4 linked regions of the Drosophila melanogaster genome follow. The protein of the gene in region 1 purifies or fractionates together with the protein of each later gene. This does not show direct contact. Each region holds a gene or a part of one and is shown in the gene's direction. Other genes may lie near its edges. The genes, in order: Syx13, Vamp7, Vps45 and Snap29.

Evidence for each region.
Region 2: the proteins of Syx13 (region 1) and Vamp7 purify together in Drosophila melanogaster (affinity purification with western blotting; 2 studies listed by BioGRID, with this or other methods). This does not show direct contact.
Region 3: the proteins of Syx13 (region 1) and Vps45 purify together in Drosophila melanogaster (affinity purification with western blotting, with the first as the bait; one study listed by BioGRID). This does not show direct contact.
Region 4: the proteins of Syx13 (region 1) and Snap29 purify together in Drosophila melanogaster (affinity purification with western blotting; 2 studies listed by BioGRID, with this or other methods). This does not show direct contact.

What each region holds. Positions count from the first base shown.
Region 1 is NT_037436.4:13,042,144-13,047,642, forward strand, and holds Syx13 (syntaxin 13), read left to right. Parts: upstream 1-2,290; 5' UTR 2,291-2,422; intron 2,423-2,494; exon of another isoform or gene 2,495-2,706; intron 2,707-2,774; 5' UTR 2,775-2,776; coding exon 2,777-3,452; intron 3,453-4,073; coding exon 4,074-4,252; 3' UTR 4,253-4,751; downstream 4,752-5,499. Other genes in the region: RpS4 (ribosomal protein S4), read left to right, coding at 1-225, 299-396, 1,023-1,194, 1,431-1,684; CG11279 (uncharacterized protein), read left to right, coding at 4,938-5,028, 5,092-5,309.
Region 2 is NT_033778.4:9,839,837-9,844,084, reverse strand, and holds Vamp7 (Vesicle-associated membrane protein 7), read left to right. Parts: upstream 1-1,582; 5' UTR 1,583-1,784; intron 1,785-1,859; exon of another isoform or gene 1,860-1,917; 5' UTR 1,918-2,034; coding exon 2,035-2,238; intron 2,239-2,316; coding exon 2,317-2,545; intron 2,546-2,609; coding exon 2,610-2,677; intron 2,678-2,735; coding exon 2,736-2,891; 3' UTR 2,892-3,005; downstream 3,006-4,248. Other genes in the region: sting, read right to left, coding at 1-125, 182-281; Marc (mitochondrial amidoxime reducing component), read right to left, coding at 3,036-3,141, 3,215-3,501, 3,570-4,192.
Region 3 is NT_033777.3:9,561,950-9,567,023, forward strand, and holds Vps45 (vacuolar protein sorting 45), read left to right. Parts: upstream 1-1,974; 5' UTR 1,975-2,076; coding exon 2,077-2,169; intron 2,170-2,232; coding exon 2,233-2,431; intron 2,432-2,482; coding exon 2,483-3,915; 3' UTR 3,916-4,143; downstream 4,144-5,074. Other genes in the region: CG9393 (uncharacterized protein), read right to left, coding at 1-52, 226-621, 868-1,146, 1,241-1,387, 1,487-1,573; CG16789 (uncharacterized protein), read left to right, coding at 4,275-4,514, 4,607-5,074.
Region 4 is NT_033778.4:23,842,541-23,846,882, reverse strand, and holds Snap29 (Synaptosomal-associated protein 29kDa), read left to right. Parts: upstream 1-2,119; 5' UTR 2,120-2,236; coding exon 2,237-2,504; intron 2,505-2,573; coding exon 2,574-3,160; 3' UTR 3,161-3,400; downstream 3,401-4,342. Other genes in the region: CG5554 (uncharacterized protein), read right to left, coding at 294-776, 943-1,117, 1,187-1,348, 1,552-1,724; shu (shutdown), read left to right, coding at 3,689-3,747, 3,805-4,342.

The sequences.
Region 1 (5,499 bases):
CCGCCCCCAAGGCATGGATGTTGGACAAGCTGGGAGGCGTCTTCGCCCCGCGTCCCTCGACCGGTCCACACAAGCTCCGTGAGTCGCTGCCCCTGCTGATCTTCTTGAGAAACCGCTTGAAGTACGCCCTCAATGGCGCCGAGGTCACCAAGATCGTCATGCAGCGCCTGGTTAAGGTCGATGGAAAGGTCCGCACCGACCCCACCTATCCCGCTGGCTACATGGGTGAGTTGTGTGCTCGGCAAGAGTGTGCTTCAAATGTGCTCCATACTAATGGGCTCCATTGCCCGTTTTTTAGATGTCATCACCCTCGAGAAGACCGGTGAGTTCTTCCGTCTGGTCTACGACGTGAAGGGACGCTTCGTCATCCACCGCATCTCCGCCGAGGAGGCCAAGGTGAGTTATCTAGTCTGTGCTTCCAGAGGTTCCCGCTTTCCAACCATGGAGTTAAAATCTAAAATTATTAACTGAGGTTTCATCCTCAACTAGGAATTCTTTTCATGCAAGAGCACTTGAATTAGATTCATCTAACTTCATCTTTAAAACATAAATAGTTCACCTATTTTGGAATACAAAATCAATCTTTATGCTAATTACCGAAAGTAATTAACTTAAATATCGAAAGGGCTTTGTCGAAGACCGTTTTGCGTGTAGAATAGTGCGCCGATTGGTTCAAAACGAAGCCCAAAGCAATTTTTGATACGACGGTCTCTGATTCGACAAATCCCAGTTGATTCAGTAACTTTTACGTGCAATTACAAAAGAAACCAAGGAGTATAAAGCATTATATTGTAATTCTGTGGGCTACGTCGAAGACCGATTTCCGCTTGTTGCCATGTGTCTATTGGTTCAAATCGAAGCCCAAAGCAATTTTTGATACGACGGTCTCTGATTCGGCATTCCACAGTCGTCTGAGTAACTTTTACGTGCAATTACAATGCAATTAAATGAAAGTGGTAGTGCAATTGTGTAGAAATAAAACGTCTTAAAATTAACCCACATTTTCTTTGCTTCTTTTGCAGTACAAGTTGTGCAAGGTCAAGAAGACCCAGCTGGGAGCCAAGGGAGTTCCTTTCCTGGTTACACACGACGGTCGCACCATCCGCTACCCGGATCCCCTGATCCACGCCAACGATTCCGTGCAGGTGGACATTGCCTCTGGCAAGATCACCGACTACATTAAGTTCGATTCTGGTAAGCATCCGCTATCGTAGATCATCGTGTTCATTGGCTGGTTCGAAGACCACAAAACGCTCCTCGAAAGTTGCGTGGTTCAAAAACAATAAGCCAAAAGCAATTTTTGTCACGACGGTCTCTGATGCGGCATTCCAAAGTCGCTTCAGTAACTTTTACGTGCAATGACAGTCGCCCAATATTATTAACCAAGTCGTATGATTCCAACTAACTGGTATATTTCTCCGTCTCCACAGGCAACCTCTGCATGATCACCGGAGGCAGGAATTTGGGACGTGTCGGCACCGTTGTCAACCGTGAGCGTCATCCCGGTTCCTTCGACATTGTGCACATTAAGGACTCGCAAGGTCATGTGTTCGCCACCCGTTTGACCAACGTGTTCATCATTGGCAAGGGCAACAAGCCCTACATCTCCCTGCCTAAGGGCAAGGGTGTCAAGCTGAGCATTGCGGAGGAGCGCGACAAGCGTCTGGCCGCCAAGACCCACTAAGGCGCAGGAGTTTAAGGACTTTTACCTTTTAGCATAACACTCTGTACGTTTAGCTACGGAATTACAAGCCGAGAACGTAACACATGTGTTTTCTTTTGCAATGGAAGTGGTTGATCTATTTGTTGGCCAAGAGTTTAAAGAATCAGATGTTTGCTTTGAAATGTGTAAAAAAAAAAACATGGGACATGTGTGACGTGACTTAAAGCTATTCAAACGTGACTTTATAGGAACTTTAAAATCAATTCACAATGCCTTAGAACTGGACGTAAAGTAAAACTACCCTCAAAATTGACATTTCAGAGCTTGAAAGACTAGTTTTATCTATGACACGAATTCAAAAGTTGCGTTTGTTAAGTAAATATTTCAAAAGCAGATTTTAATGAGGACTTAAATTTCAATTTATGATGATGATTGTGTTATTCTTGTTTACGTCTTCATCTCACTTATTTCATTCATATCATAAAAAAAGGGCAATAGATTATTGAAAAAAGGAATTCATTTATTTTACGGGGGGGGGGGGGGTGAGTTTTAACCCCTCTGTGGTGCGTGGGGGCTGGAGTTGGCGCCCAAATAATCGATAACCCGCCCCCAGCATCGATAGAACGGCCGCTGCGAAAGCTCCGGTCACACTGCTCAGTGGGCTGCTGCTTCTGCTGCAGAGAATTATCATTGTATTTCGTGTGGTGAAAGGCTTTGTGCGCGAACATTGTGCGTCCCCGGATCAGAACTCGCTTCGAAGTAAGTACCCGACCATCCCGGTGGCGCATTCCGCCGCTGGGCGGAAGCCCTAGCAGAGCCCCCGCCCCCAAAAGCAAATCATATGCGAAGAAGAAAACACGAAAATGCTGGCCACCCATACAACGATGCGCTGCACACACCGATGCACACCGACACATACGCACACGGGCGAACATCATATGTTGATAAGTTGGCGACAACAACAACAACAGCAGCAGCAAGAACAACAAGAACAACAATGCATGTGAATCATTTGTAGGGATTTGTCTGTTTGCTCGCGAGTGGTATTAAATGTCGGCCTATTTAGCAAGACCCCTGCTTTGAACTCACAGCGATACATATGCACTTACAGATATGTCCAAGGCCTTGAACAATCCCGGTGGCAACGGAGGAGGCGGTGGCCCCCATCGGGACTATGGTGCGATGGCCGATTCAACGCCCGAAGTGAGCTTTGCGGCAGCCGGCGGTTCGTCCGGCTTCAGTCCGACGGAATTCATGTCTCTTAGTGAGGACATTGGCCACAACATCACTGCCATCCACAGCAGCACCAAGCAGTTGGAGAAGCAGCTGAAACTGATTGGCACATCCAAGGAGCAGCCAAATCTGCGGGAGAAGGTGCACACCATCAACACCAAGTGCAATGCCCGGGTGCAGACCACCAGTCAGGACTTGCAGAGGCTACAGGCCGTTGTGCGGCACGGAGATCGCCAGCAGAAGCTGCAGCTGGAGAAGCTCACCCGGGAGTTCCATGGCGTGGTGGAGAAGTACTCCAATCTGCAGCGACGCATCTCATCGGCCATGCGGCAGACCCTGCAGCAGGCGCAGCAATTTGCCGATCAGGTGGTGGAGACCAACGCCCGTGCTGAGCTGCTGCAGCAACAGCGCTTGGAGCAGGCCCATCTCCAGCAGGAGCACGACATGCTCGACGATCGGCGGCGGCAGGTCGAGCAAATAGAGTCGGACATCATCGATGTCAACCAGATCATGACCCAGCTGAGTGGACTGGTGCACGATCAGGGGCAGCAGATGGGTGAGTAATCTCCATCCAAGTGGGGCTCAACGACCGCAAATCGAGAAACCACAAGCCGTAATTAGGGCTCTCACTTTACGACCCAAATGCACGCAGTTCCACATATTTAATAGCGTCCAAATGGAGAAATCCATTGGTAAAACAAAATATTCAGAGCTTATCAGTTGCTTAAAGGTTGCATAGCAAATCTCTCAAATGAGTTGATAAGTAAACATGTGCAAGAAATTATGAATCATTGACTTTGCTTCAATAACAATGCACATTTCGAAATTGATTGGAATTATCAACAACGACTTAGACGTTTTAATTTTCCATATCTTTTATGAAAACCCGTGTCATTTGGCAAGTAATGTGTGCATACGCTTATCATATCGTTTAATTTAACTTCCTGTTTATTTGAACAGTAATCAATTATTTCGGGTCTTACAAAAATAAGAAGAAACTGATAAGAGCAAGCAAATATTATAAAATATTTACTGACTGCTATTACAGGTTTAAATATCCAAAATTTTTCACTCCTTATTAGTAATAGTTTTGAAAATTTCTAGGTGCTTGCTTGATGGAAGGTTTTTGTACTTGTTTTTGATTACACTTTCTAAGCAAATCTCAATTTCTTTCCAGATTTCATCGAGAACAGTATTGAGCAGACGGCCGCCAACGTTGAGGATGGCACCTCGGAACTGGCCAAGGCGGCCAGGAGTCGCCAGAGCTACCGGCGCAAGATCTTGATACTCCTGGTGATCGCTGTGATAATAGGTTTAATCGTAACTGGCGTTATCGTTGCCAAACTGAACAGTTAATTGTTTTATTTTTACGCCCATATTCAACAAACACACGCAAACATACACAACCCACACACACACACACGCATAGATTTTTGTAAAACGATTTTTATAAGAAACAAAATATTCGATCGTTGAGAACTCTGTTTAATCACCAAGTGAGCAAAGACAACAAGAATGTAGAGGAAAAGCTAAAGCAAAAAATAAAAACAAATACCATATTTATAATTATACATATATATCTACATATATATACATAAGTAAATAAGGATACTGAATCCCACTTAACTTGCATATAAACAATATTCAGCGCTTTTAAATGTTAATTATTTCTTGTTAAAAACGATTATCGCGAGCAATCTGAGTTTTGCATTGAAATTTGTAAAATTTTTGTGTTTAGTTTCGAGAAAGCGGAAGGCGGATTGCTGAAGCCGTCTGCGGCTTTAGTATTCCCTTTTGATATATGTTACAAGTTATATATAAGTGAGCCAGCAATCGAAAATAAAATAAACCGAACAAACCAATTTGAGTGATTTGAAAAGCGCGCCAAGTGGCTCAAAGAGGATGCAATAGGTTGGCAGTCCGCTTAAATTGATAGGACGTAATCGATAGACTTATCGGTGTGGGGCAAAACCAAAACAACGTGCTGCACAGCAAAACATTTATATTTCGTTTTCTTGATAAAAATTTGTCATTTGTAAAGATGCCACAGGGAAAATTCAAGAAGGCCAAGCTACCAGCAGCGATACAGAAAAAGAAGAACCAAAAGCAAGCTGCTTTCACCCGTCGATCAAGTGATTACCCACATGCTTAACAATCTTCTCCAAATTCTATGTTTTTGTTTTATTAATTTACAGATGCGCCAATTCAGGCGAAAAAGGCCAAGTTCAATGAGACGCAGAAGATCAAGTCCGTTATTTCGAAGTCGGTCAACAAGAGCGTGGAGAGCGAACTGCGCTCCCGCGCCCACGAGGGCTACATCCAGTTGAGCAAGGCCCAGGAGGCGGTGGCCAAGCACCACGCCTCCCAGGCGAAGGCGGCTGCGGCGGCCAGTACCGCCAAGTCCGCGGAATAGCTTACTCTAGGCATAAGTACTCTGTTGATAACCAAATGACCTGCATATTGTATAGTAAAACATTTCTAAAACTATTTCCTTTGTTATAGCATCGATTGGAACCCAAAGGAAACGAATTCTCCTCTTAAGATTGCCAAAAGGATTAACAAATCCGCCTAATATCAGAGCATATGAGCTTTAAAGCGTTGTT
Region 2 (4,248 bases), on another chromosome or scaffold:
GATTATCCACAGCCGATCCTCGGGCAAATAGTACCGCCCATTGCTCCCATATTCGACGACACAGCGGTACAAGCGAAGGAGCAGATCAGCCAAGAACACGGTGGCTACAATGCGAATAGAGGTGTCTGCAACGAATCACGACCGTAAAGATAATTTATGGCGTCCATCGGTCATCACTCACCAATATAATCTCCTATCATCTTTCGAAAATAAAAATATTTTCTGCCTTTTTCCGCGCGAACCGCGTTCCCCGCTTCGACAACGTTGCTAGCGATTGCCATTTCGTCTGCATACATATGTACGTCTCAAGGGTTGCCAGATCGATTTGGAGATCTCGCGAAAACTTCGCTGGAATTTCAAATGCCGTTAAATTATATATAAATTTGTTTATTGGGCTTGCATAGGTATACATAACTGAATTTGGGCTCCTAAATATTAATTACATTGCGTGCACATACAAATGCACATATTTATGTATGACGGAAGCAATGAAGGAACTACATTGTTATATCTTTTTATTATTATTTACTTTTGTGTTTGTTTATCAGGTATCAGATAAGATTTTATCAATATAGCCTCAAAGATTCGTTAATCAATTTGTATTCGAAATAAAACTTTAGGTAACAATGTCCGGTTCCGACTATCAGATACATATACAGACATGAAATCTGCTGACTGTAAAGCTCTCCGCCCTCTGGAACAAATATTCGTGAGAGCCGGAGCCAGCTCTAGACTCCTCCCAAAAACGCATATTGTTATTCTAGTGTCTTTGGTAAGAGGGTATACTAGATTCGTTGAAAAGTAAGTAACAGGTAGAAGGAAGCGTTCCCGGCCATGTAAAGTATATATATTCTTAATCAAGATCAAAATAATAAAAAATAACAAAGATAATTAAACATTAACAATGGTTAACCAATTGGTGGTTAATTAACCATCAACAATGGTTAACCATTACGCTCTTACTCTGCAACTTAAATACTGATAGCTACACCCTAAACGAATTATAAGATTTGATAAATGATCTTATTTAAGCATGCTTATTGTGTTCTAATATTAAATTCTATAGAAACCTTATCCTGTAAAAGGCTCAAAAAAGTGCAATCGTGCCATATTTGTGGCCAGAATAAATGAGAATTCTAAGTCTTTTAAAATAAGTAATTTTAAATCGAATATTTCGGCAGCATATGCGCATATTGAAACTACGTATATTGTATCTTGCGTGTGTACATAGTTTAAGTTATTACCTGCGGTTTTTTCTGTCAAAACGAATGGATCCAGGCTCAAAGATCTCAGGAGCAAAAGCTTGGGAACGCTATTAATTTAAATTTACTTTAATGGAAAATTCTTTGTCCGGGGAGAAGAATCTCAACTGGATGAACTGATGCTCTCGTCAATACTGAAACGCTATCGGTGGGATGCCCCTATTTAAGTTGCGGAGATCATTTAATTTAATAAGCAAATGCAAATAATCATAAGACCGTATAACATAATTTGTAAAACACGTTATGCAGTGTGACCGTGCGATAAAGCCAGACTTATCGGCTCCATTAAATATCGATGCGTCGATGTACCGTCCTTCCACCTCTAATTTTATAACTGCATCGAAGCGTCAGCAATTGTTGTTATTTGTAATGCAAAAATCGAGCTAATTCCACGGTATTGTGATGTTTTTATTGTGTTCGGCAAAAGCAATTGAAAATCGATAATAACTTAAGCCGCTTACCACAAAATGTAAATCTGCAGTTGCGCTATCAACTCGAGGCGGATCTAATTGGATAAACAAAGCAAGTACTTTGATATAACAATTTGCATATTACACATATATACGTATGTTACTCATAAACAGAGTTATTGTTCAGATTGATAGGCTCGCAATTGGATAGTAGTAGTTTCTAAATCGATATGTACATTTCTCAGAATCCGAGAGCACGTCATCATTGACGGATCGTCGGCTCATTCCCCGATAAGCAAAACAAAGCAGTAGCCTGAGGAGCTGAACAACCGCGCCCTTAGCAAAGGAGAATCTGTGGCACCATGCCGATACTATATAGTGTGATATCGCGGGGCACCACAGTGCTGGCGAAGTTTGCGGAGTGCGTCGGCAACTTTGCCGAAGTGACGGAGCACATAATCGGACGGATCGGGGTGCATAACCACAAGATGACCTACACACACGGAGACTACCTGATCCACTACACCTGCGAGAACAAACTGGTCTACATGTGCATCACCGACAACGTGGGTGAACGAACCACTGGCCCAATTAGCCACCTCAGTTGCTTATTGCCCAATCGATAACGTATCGTTTCTTTGTAGGAGTTCGAACGGTCGCGGGCCTTCCTCTTCTTGGCGGATATCAAGCAGAAGTTTATCCAGACTTACGGCCTACAGGTGGCCACCGCCATCGCCTACTCCATGAACACCGAGTTCTCCAAGATCCTGGCCCAGCAGATGGTCTATTTCAGTCAGTCCCGGGAGGTGGACACCATTTCGCGAGTACATGGTCAGATTGACGAGCTTAAAGACATTATGGTTAAGAATATTGGTATGAAGGAAGGAAAATCCGTATGTTCTTTTTGTTTACTATTCCCTTTTCATCCCATTTGCAGACAGCTTGCGGGATCGCGGCGAGAAACTAGAGCTGCTCGTCAACAAGACCGAAAACTTGAGCAATAATGTAAGGTGATGCCAAGCAGAGACTTTTAAATGTGTTTTTCATTTGATCTCTCTTACAGTCCGTTGCATTCCGTAAGGCCTCCCGAAATTTGGCTCGTCAAATGTTTTGGAAGAACATCCGCGTCTACGTGGTGGTGGGTCTGGTGATAACCTTCATCGTTTACGTGATTGTGAGCATGGCCTGTGGTGGCCTCGCTTGGCAGTCCTGTGTTTAGGACAAGCTTTAAAGTTGTTTATATTGTTATAGGCTCATAACACATGTATATTTGCATATAAAACTCTACAGTACTCTCATCTATGTTCTATGTAATAAACTTCAATGTATACCGGATAAAGTGTTAGAAGAGATAATGGAATATTCACTTGTCCTCCACATACACGACGTCGTTGGCCTTCACCTTTCCCGGCAGCCGAAGTCCCATATGAACGCCCAGAGCCGGCGAACTGTAGTTGAACAAGCGATAGCTGTGGATTCCAGATATGAGGGTCGGGTTTTGTAAGTCGTACTTCTCAGATATTTCCATGGGTAGTGACTCACCTTCTGAGCGTTTTGAGAGGCTCTCCTTCGGAACTCCTCTCTGCGGTCTTCGCATTAATGTTGGTAAAAATACAGCGAGTGCATGGCGCCACCGTACGGAAAACAGCATCTTCGCCTATACGCACCCACTGCCAATTGTCCTCGGCATAGGGCTCATCAACATCCATTTTCAGTTCGAAGTTACCTCGGAACTGCAGTGCATCCACCGGATTCTTTAACCGAGTATTAAGATCGGCGACCGACGAAAGGTTCATCAGCATAAAGCTGGTGGCATCGTTAAAAGTGCCCTATGGAAAGAATTCAAATCAAGGGTGATCTGGGTCCTAACACTTCGAATTGCGCATCAGGAACATACCGAGTCCTCCTGTCTAATGAATGGCATGGACTTTAGGCGGGGATTGGTGCATCTCACTGGTTTCGGATAGGGATAGTGAACTAGCTTGAGGCCGCTCTCCTTCTTCAGGATGGCCTGGGAGAACCACGTGTTGATCCGATCTCCGCAGGGCATCACGTCTATGGAAACGCCCCAAACGGAAGTTTTCACATCCTTGCCAGGACCGTCCAGCTTCTCGAAGTCCAGCTCCAGGTCTGGCATGTCCTGGGCGCTGAACACAAGCTTGCTGGGCGACACCTTCTTCGACTTGATCTGGGTCATAAGCGGATACACCCGAGCCGTGATCATTTCGTTCTTTTCATTGACCACCATCAAGGTGCGATCCCTTATTCCCTCAAAGGACATGCTCAGTACATCGCAGTCGTACTCCACTCCGGGCTTCGAGATGTCCATAGGGGCACAGGACTTGACCGGAAAAAAGTGTATCCTCTCCACGGTGCCCACGCGTCGCCACTTTTGGGGAACCACATCGCGGGTCAGATGGCGGTACAGTAGGAAGCTAGCCCCGCCCACCGCCACCAGGCCCACGCCCACGGCCGCCAGGGTCTTGGGACTGAGGTCAAAGGTCGAGTTATTTCCGCCGGCTGCAGGATAATCCACGTTACTTAAGGATCTCCCAGCTAATCCCGGTTTTTCACTC
Region 3 (5,074 bases), on another chromosome or scaffold:
CGTCATCCTCGTAATCTATGCCATCGTAGTCCGTCGAAGAGCGTGTCGTTAGCTGCAAGGATGAATCAATCGGAATTTGCAATTAACTGAGAATTTTGCACGTGCTCAAGCTGAGGCTGTCTACAAGAGTGTCTGGAGCCAACAGAAGACATTGAACCAGAACTATCGAATAAGCTCCATCAAGTCAAGAGTAAAGAACTACAAATTTCAGCCAAAAATACCCACCTGGTTGTAAATCCCACGCCATGCCGCAAACGCTCCCATGGCCAAGACGGCTCCCACGCCGGCTACTATTTTGGTGTTCAGCTCGGAGTCTAGGAACTTGCGCTCCGAGGCCGTCAGACTGGCCTCCGTGCCACTGGGTGTCTTTGTGAGCTTGACGGAACTGTATCCCTCGATGCGGAATATGTCCTTCGTGATGCGGTTGATAAAGTTCACTAGGTTTTGGCAGCCCTTAATGTGATTCTGCAGTGGATTGTTAGGCAGTGCGATCTTAAAGATGATGGCAAGATAGCTGTAGACAATGGCATCAAACTCGCTGTAGGTGTCGCCAAAGAACCACACCTTGCGACCCAATTTCCGGGAGAGCAGGTTCACCACTTTTTTGGCATTGACAACGAGCTGTAAAGTAAAATGATTAATTGATAGTTAAAGAAACGTCTTGCTTTTCACAACATTGATAAGATATATTGATAACAAAAGACCAATACATGAGAAACTGTTTCTTATTAATATAAACTGATGAAACGTTTCCAATCGAAATGCAGCTTGGGTGTAAAACATAGGTTAGATAAACAAATTAAAAAATCCTCGGATTTAAAGATACAATAATGTAATATGAGACAATATGAAATTGAAAGCACTCACGTAGTCGCCTTCGTGCTTGTCCAACTTGTCGTTCACATCGAAACCGGCCATCACCTGAACCACGTCGCAGGCTTCCCTTTGGTAGGACGACGGGTAGTAGAAGTTGAAGGGGAATGGCGTGCGCTTGGCGTAGAGGCCCCGCGTGGTTGTGTCAAAATTGTGAGGCTCTCCAAACAGGAAGTAGTGGTAGTAGGCATGCAGATTGGTGAACACCCAGTTGGCGTAGGCGGTGGACAAATGCTTTTGTTTAGTGCTTAAATGCGCATCTATCGGGTAACCCTGAAAGAATACGTCGAATTAAGCCCATAAAAAAACACATATCTATAAATAGAGCCTGCAGTTTGTTCACCCCGGCATTGTTTTGCTCACTCACCTCGAGATCCAGCACGCGCTTAATTTGCCTATAGCCCGCGAACTTCTGGTTGCCGATCTGCAGATACGGCAGCTTCCCGGCTCCCGAACGCAGCGGATTGGAGCTGGTCTGCACGTCCATGGGGCAGCGGGTGAATCGCAGGAGGCACTGTTTCCGGCAAAGAGGCGCTTTCATCAGTTTCTTTCATCATCTGCGATAATGGGCAAAACAGGCGTGCTGGCCGCCGTGTGATGCAACGGAACTTACCAGAGCACGTAAACATTCAAAATCTATGGACGGCAGTCCGTACTCCCCCTTGTACACATACAGCATGGCTCCCAGTTGCATCTCCATTGTGTCCTAGTCTATGCTTTGCTCGTACTCTTGTATTTAGCCGGTTTTCAACAGTCCACCTGCATATCAGCCATCCGAATTTGAATCCAAAAATATATGCCAGAATTTCTGGCCGACTGCTGCGAGTGCTTCAGACTGATAACTACTGGGCACTCGATATATCGCTCGAGCATATCGGCGCTTTATCGATTGCCGGCCAGGGATGTTGCTACTCGAAGTTTATTTTGGCTAATGAAAAGATACGGAATTATGTTTGAGCTTAATTGCTATTTATGTTTATCTTTATTGCTATTTTTATTATACTACCAAAAAATTGTAAGTTTTTATCTATATGCATTTTTACATATTCACATTATTTTACATTAGCTAGATCTAGCGAATGTTACCCAAATGTTTGGTCACCGCTGTTATCACGGAGCTATCGCAATTGGGGCATCTCCAACCCATCTGTTTGCGAAAAAAAACATTAATTTCTGATTTTCGCAGTAAATTAGTTAGCAGTCATGAATCTGATAAGCGGCATTAAGTTGTACATCGAGAAAATGTGCTCCGAGTCGGGACCGGGCATGAAAATCATTCTGCTGGACAAGGAGACGGTAAGTGCAAGGACTGACAATCAAATCCCCTGCCATATGATCAAAAATTCACATCATTCGCAGACCAGTATAATTTCGATGGCCTTTAGCCAATCGGACATGCTGCAACGGGAGGTGTACCTATTTGAGCGCCTGGACTCGGGAAGATCCAACGAGCGGTTAAAGTATCTAAAATGCATCGTCTTTATACGCCCCACCAAGCAGAACATCCAGCTACTGGCCAACGAGTTGCGGAACCCCAAATACAGCGCCTACTACATTTGTAAGTGGGTCAGTAGAAGCACCTTCGGAATAGTACTAAACTCATAAATAGATTTCAGCAACATCATTCCCCGGACGGACATTAAATACTTGGCAGAGTGCGACGAATCCGAATCGGTGCGAGAAGTGAAGGAACTGTATGCAGACTACCTGTGCGTCAACCCCAATCTGTTCTCATTAGGCATTCCCAATTGCATGGCGAATCTTAATTGGCTGCCGGACGCTCTCAACCGCAGCATGCAGGGCATCACAGCCGTGCTGTTGTCCCTTAAGCTGAACCCAGTGATCCGGTACCGAGCCGGTTCTCAGGCAGCGCAGCTTCTGGCCAAGCTCATATACGAGCAAATCACAAAAGAGTCCTCGCTATTCGACTTTCGCTCCAACATGGATGGCGCTGCGCCACCGCTGCTGCTTGTGCTGGACCGCAGGGACGATCCTGTGACGCCGCTTTTGCATCAGTGGACATACCAGGCCATGGTGCATGAGTTGCTGCACATAAAAAACAATCGATTGGACCTGTCCAATTGCCCCAATGTGCCGAAAGACTTCAAGGAGCTGGTCTTATCCGGTGATCAGGATGACTTCTATGGCAACAACATGTACGCCAACTACGGCGAAATCGGATCTACCATCAAACAACTGATGGAGGAGTTCCAGCGCAAGGCGAACGACCACAAGAAAGTGGAGAGCATAGCAGACATGAAGAACTTTATTGAGTCATATCCGCAGTTTAAAAAAATGTCTGGCACTGTGCAAAAGCATTTGTGTGTGATTGGAGAACTGTCGGCGCTGAGCAACAAGAGGAATCTCTTCGAGGTTTCCGAACTTGAACAGGAGATCGCTTGCAAGGCGGAGCACTCGGCCCAGCTGCAGAGAATCAAAAAACTAATTGCCGACGAACGGGTTTCCATCGATGATGCTCTTAAGTTGGTGGCACTTTATGCATTGCGATACGAGCGACACGCCAACTGCGACACATCTGGACTGCTGCAAATAATCAAAACGCGCGGTGGACGAGCGGCTATAGTGCCATCGTTGATTGAGTATGCTGGAACCCATGTACGACAAGGAGATCTCTTCAATATGGTGCGGATAACGGACGCCGTAAAGCTGACACGGAATTTGATTAAGGGCCTTAAGGGTGTGGAAAATGTCTTCACACAGCACACTCCTCTCCTGAAGGAAACTTTGGAGGACGTGTTTAAGGGCCGCGAGCTGGATCCCCTCTTCCCGGCCATCAATTCAGAGCTTGTGCCATTTCGACGACCACCGCAGGAGGTTGTCGTGTTCATTATTGGCGGTGCCACGTACGAGGAAGCCTTAGCGGTGCACCAGTTAAACAACGCCGGCTATAAAGTCATTCTTGGCGGCACCACCATCCATAACTCGCAGAGTTTTATCCAAGAGGTCGTGGCCGCCACTAGTGGCATTCAGTTTAAGCACACCAAATCCATGATCAAGTACTGTTCCACGGATAACATTTAAAGTCTATTTTGACTAGATAGCCCCAATTATATTGTTAACTATTTATTAACTAAATATGAATGTGCATTATGTATTAAGGTATTCCATGCATTGTACCAATTCAAATCCATTGGACTATTTAACCTTTTAAGCGTAACCATGTAAACATATTTATTGTTATTCTCGAGGGTAACACCAGGCAACGCCTTGGACAAAATGTATTATATACAACTATGTGTGTACAAAATTACTAAACTCTCGTTGTCCTTGCAATAATTCCACCCCGTTTCGGCAAAAAGTTCCTTGGCAACTCCCAGGCAACGTTTCGTTTGGCTCAAACAAGAATCTGATTTTTCATTGGAGGAGTATCATTGACCATCATGTCCAGCACATATTTCAATGATATCTGGCACCAATCCCAGCATGAATGCGAGCTTCTATCCACGATTGACTATGAGAGGCAGCACCAGGATGTGGAGACGACGGTGGCCACCATGAATGCAGCGGTCGGATCCGTCGCCGCCGATGCGGATGCCAAGGCCTTGCTGCAGTCCAGTCTGTACGAGTTCTATCTGCGCTACATATGTCTGAGCAATCGTTTGGAGGATGTCTATGATAATGTGGGTATACGACTTTCTTAAACAAAAGTGGGATATATATAAGGAGATGATATATCCTTTGACTCTGGTTTACTTCTCATCTTTCATCATAGATGATTCAGCCTCAGAAGCGCCAGTTGGTGCGTAAATTACTAGACGCCTGTCTGGGTCGAGTGGTGGAGCTGAAGCACGATCTCGTAAATATCGACTTGATGGAATTTAGCTACAACGACGAGGTGGTGGAACGCCTGCGCCTGACGCCCATGGAAACGGAGCTGAGGATACCACGCTACTTTCTGCGCGAGCGTCAGCAGGAGCTAGAGTTTCGAAAGAAGACCATGCATGAGATCCTAACGAAGCTGGGTTGGCTTGAGGAGCACGAGCTGGAGGAGACGGTTACCACCGAGATCGAAGCCATTAGGATGCTTCAAATGCACGAGCGAGCGCGACAAGGACGCTTGCGTGCCCACTTCATGAAGGAGATTCGCATCCTAAAGGAGAAGGGCAAGTCGGAGGAGCGCACCGAAAAGGAGCGCAGTGACTCTGGTCTTTTGGCTGCCATGAAGATTCAGAAGATGTGG
Region 4 (4,342 bases), on another chromosome or scaffold:
AAGGTAAAAATATACGACTAAAGTTACATTTAGTTATTGTTACGCTTGCTATCGCTTAATGGATTGCAATTTTGCTTTACATAATTATGAAATACATGGGGCGCCGTTTTCTGGCTAGGATTAGAAGGAGGGAAAACAATCGGTTTTGTGCGCGAAGGCAGAGCAGACGGATTATGTCCGCTCGAATGATGCTTGGGTAAGAGGTTGTGTTCCTCTCGATTCAGTGTGTTAGTCTTTTTGTTGCCGCTTCTGATGATCGCTAAGGCTGAAGATCCGCAGGGACCCCGCTGCACCTAATCGCCTTTGCGAGGCTTGCGCTTGCGCACCTGTTCCGTCTTCTCGGGCGCAGCATCGCCGGCCTGCTTGGGCTCCGGCTTCTCTTCCTTTTCCGGCTCGCTGTCGGCCTCCTTCTCTTTAGTGGCCAGATCGCCCACCTGCTCCTCGCTGTCCTCTTCCTCTTCGTCGTCGTCCTCCTGTTCTTCCTCGTCGCTATCGCGTTGCTCGTCATCGTTCTCCTCGGCGTCGCCATCATCCTCGATCTCCTCGGTTGCCAAATCCTCCAGGCCCTCGGTCAGATTGTCCTGGGACTCGGAGAAGCTCTGGCGCTGCGACTTCTTGGGTGGGTAGACAAAGTCCACAAGGCACACGAGCAGCAGCCCCAGGGCAGCGCCCACGAAGATGGTGGCGATGGCGAAGAGGGCGTAGGAGCCCCACGTGGGCAGTCCGTATTCCTCCTGCAGGCGCCCGTTGAAGTCCTTAAAGAGTTTTTGCGTATGCTATTAGTACATGAACCCAACATACAAGACAACAGCAGAGAGCAAAGACCAGAGTAATGAGTGATGGGCGGCAATCTTTTGTGGGTCAACGGGATCAACCCGCTGATAAGCTTCCGCTTATGTCTCATGCAGTGAACCGATGCGATAATGGGCTAGGTGAACGTACCTTCAGAGTGTGCGAAAGCTTGAAGAAGTAGGACAGCACGGACATGTGGGTGGTGTCGGGCTTCTTCCAGGCGGACAGCGGTTCGATGCTCTGCCACTGCTGCTTCTTCACGAAGTAGAGGAGGGCGTCGCCATCACGGGCCCCACGATACTGCCGGAACTCGCCATCTTTTACGCTGGAAATGATTGACGTGGATTACGACGATGTGTATTTCATGGGTTGAAAAGGTCTATGTGGTGCTCACTGGTAGATGGTGGGGAGGGCGGTGACAAAGAAGCGTCCACTCAGCGAGGGCGAGGTTGTCACGTCGATTTTGGCCACCTGCACCTGGACATCCTTGGCCACGCGGGCAAACCGCTCCCAGGTGGGAGCCAGGTTCTTGCAGGCCGGGCACCATGGAGCAAAGCTGTGAATGGAGGGAGAAACATATGTTTAACACAGCTGCCGATGAGTCATCGTCGCCGCAAAGGAATGTCTGGTATTTCGGAGAACGAAAGAACCAGCTTGCCGGCTGGAGAAAGCCGGCGCACCACGCCCCTTTATGTTACGTCAGGGGCAGCGGGGTTTCATGTGGGTAGGGACTACTCAGAGCCACCCTTTCGCACTCACAACTCGATCATCCATTCGCCCTGGAGCATCAGGTGCCAGTTGTCCTCGTCCAACTCGATTAACTTGCCACCTGGCTGCAGTCCTGACTGCGCTGCTGCCGTCGACTGCGCCGTCGCCGCCAGCAGAAGCAGCGCCGCGCATGTCGCGGCCACAAAGTACGATGTGCTATGCATGTGGTGATGTTTTGGTGCTTTGCTCCGCCGATTCGTGTCCTGAAACCTGTGACGTTCGGCTGCGACAGTTTCTTAAATTAAACTAAAGCTTCCGTCTTGGTCAGTTCCAAAAAGTTACAGAAACTGCGACGCCTGCTGGAAAATTGACAGAAGTGCTGGTTCGATATCCATCGGAGATGGCAAGCCGCTTTATTCCCCGCTAGATCATCGGTAGGGGGATTCGGTCGGTATTCGCTCGTTACACGATTTTTTATTTATTAGATCAAGCTTCAAGTTTTCTTACATACAAATTCAATTTTTATCGTATCTTCAAAATCATTTTAATTATAATAACTTATTTTATTGAAGCCTCTGCAATGTCAAGCTATTTATAAGTCGATTGAACTGCATACAAATACTACATTTGTACCATCGCTATTGCAATCGATAACTCCAGACAACAACAAAGAAAATAAAAGTTTACGAAAACATAACAAAATTCGACATTTTGGAAGTTTCCCTCGCCACAAGAAATGGCCCATAACTACCTGCAGCCAGTGCACGATCACTTCGATGACGTGGACAGATTCGAGGACGTGGACGACGACCTATTCCTGCAGAACAAACGGACGGGAGCAGCCAAGCTTCCGCAGCAGAGGAGCACCAATCCCTTCGAGATGGATGACGATGACGAAGAGGAGATAACCTCGTCGCCATCAGTGGCCGCACAGCGACTGGCCTATGCTGAGAAGCGAAGGGCCATTGAGCAGCGAACTCTGGACTCTACCAACAAAAGCTTGGGTAAACATGGGGTCAATTGCCAGCCAATTAAGGGGCGTTATTGATGCGTCTCTCTCCTACAACCCCCAGGTCTGCTCTACGAAACCCAGGAGGTGGGTAAGGCGACGGCCGTGGAGCTGGCCAAGCAGCGGGAGCAACTGGAGAAGACATCACATCAGTTGGACGAGATCAGCTCCACGCTGCGCTTCAGCCAGCGCCATCTGACTGGTCTGAAGAGTGTCTTCGGCGGCCTCAAGAACTACCTTTCGGGCAACAGGGACCAACCACCCACCGCGACTGGTTCGCCCACGGGCAGTCAGTCCTCCCAGGAGGCCAATAGCAACATTAACCAGGGTGCCTGTGGCGGTGCTAGCCCCTCGGCTCCGCTATCACCAGCGGAGCGCTACGACAATCATCCGGTTAGCCAGCTGCGTGGTGATCCCAGCAGCACCTACCAGCCCCAGCGACAGGCGGCCAATCCCTTCCAGGCCCAGATCGATTCCAATCTGGAGGAGATGTGCAGCAACCTGTCGGTGCTGAAGATGCTGGCCACCGATCTGGGTGGCGAAATTGAGTCGCAAAATGAATTGCTGGATAACATGAACTACAAAATTGAGGATGTCGACTTGAAGATTCACAAGCAGAACAAGGACATGAGCAAGCTTCTGAAGAAGTGAACAAGCGAGCATTCGCATACTATTGTATTGATCATTGCTTAGAATAGCCCTCCCTTAATATACAAATCTTAGCCATACCATATCGCACGGTGAGCACTTCACAAGGCCATTAAGAATGCATTCCTCATTATGTTTCCTAGTTTTTTATTGTTACACACACCAAAACAATTCTCTCAATGGAGTGCTCGTAGTTGGAGAGCGATAAGTGTTCAGTTTTAAATAAAGATTCATATAAAAAGCAAGTATATCTGGCCTAGTGTTTCCCCGTCTGGATTGGAATACATTATACATTTTCGGAAGATATCTCGAGTTGCAGTGCTCGCGCCCTAATAAAGATATATAGTTCTTTGTTTGAATTCGATAACTTCCGGACAACAGCGACCAATCGATTCGCTAAAGCTATCAAGCAATCGAATTCCAGTTGATACCATCGCTGGAAAGCTCTTTTCTCAAACGCATCCAAAAGAATAGCGCCAACTCAGCGCATTCCGGAATTCGTTTCGTAAATATTCTGTAAATTTTGCGATAATGGAAGAAAACTTCGAACCGTACACCCCACAGTTGCTCAAGAATCCCTTGTCCTATTCGTGAGTAATAAGATACATATTAAAGGCACTCATGACCACGTGCAACTCATTCTGCAGGGATCTCGTGAAAAAGGGCGTTGAGTTCGAGGTCGACAATTCGCAGCAGAACCATGCCAGGGATCTGGGTCTCGACAGCGACAGCGACAGCGACTACGAGGATGCGCTGGACGTGGACGGCGAGGAGCTACGTTCACCGTGGACATATTCATTCGACGAACTGCGTGCGCTGATGAGCGAGATCGACGAAAACATTTACAAGCGGATCACTCGCACCGGTCACGTGGATCGGGAGGCGGTGCCGAACAAGGCTAGGGTCTCGGTTCGGTACAGTGGCTACTGGGAGGGCGAGACCGCTCCCTTCGACTCCTCCCTGCTGCGGGGCAGCAAATTCGTGTTTGAAACTGGCCAGGGAACGGTGGTTGAAGGCCTGGAGGTCGCCGTCCGCAGCATGCGTCCTTACGAGCAGGCCGAGTTTATAATCTCCTACAAGCTGCTTTTCGGAGAACTCGGTTGCCCTCCGCGGATCAAGCCCAAGGCGGATGCGCTCTTTAAAGTGGAGGTAATTGACTACTCGCTCATAGGAGATGCGAAGGGC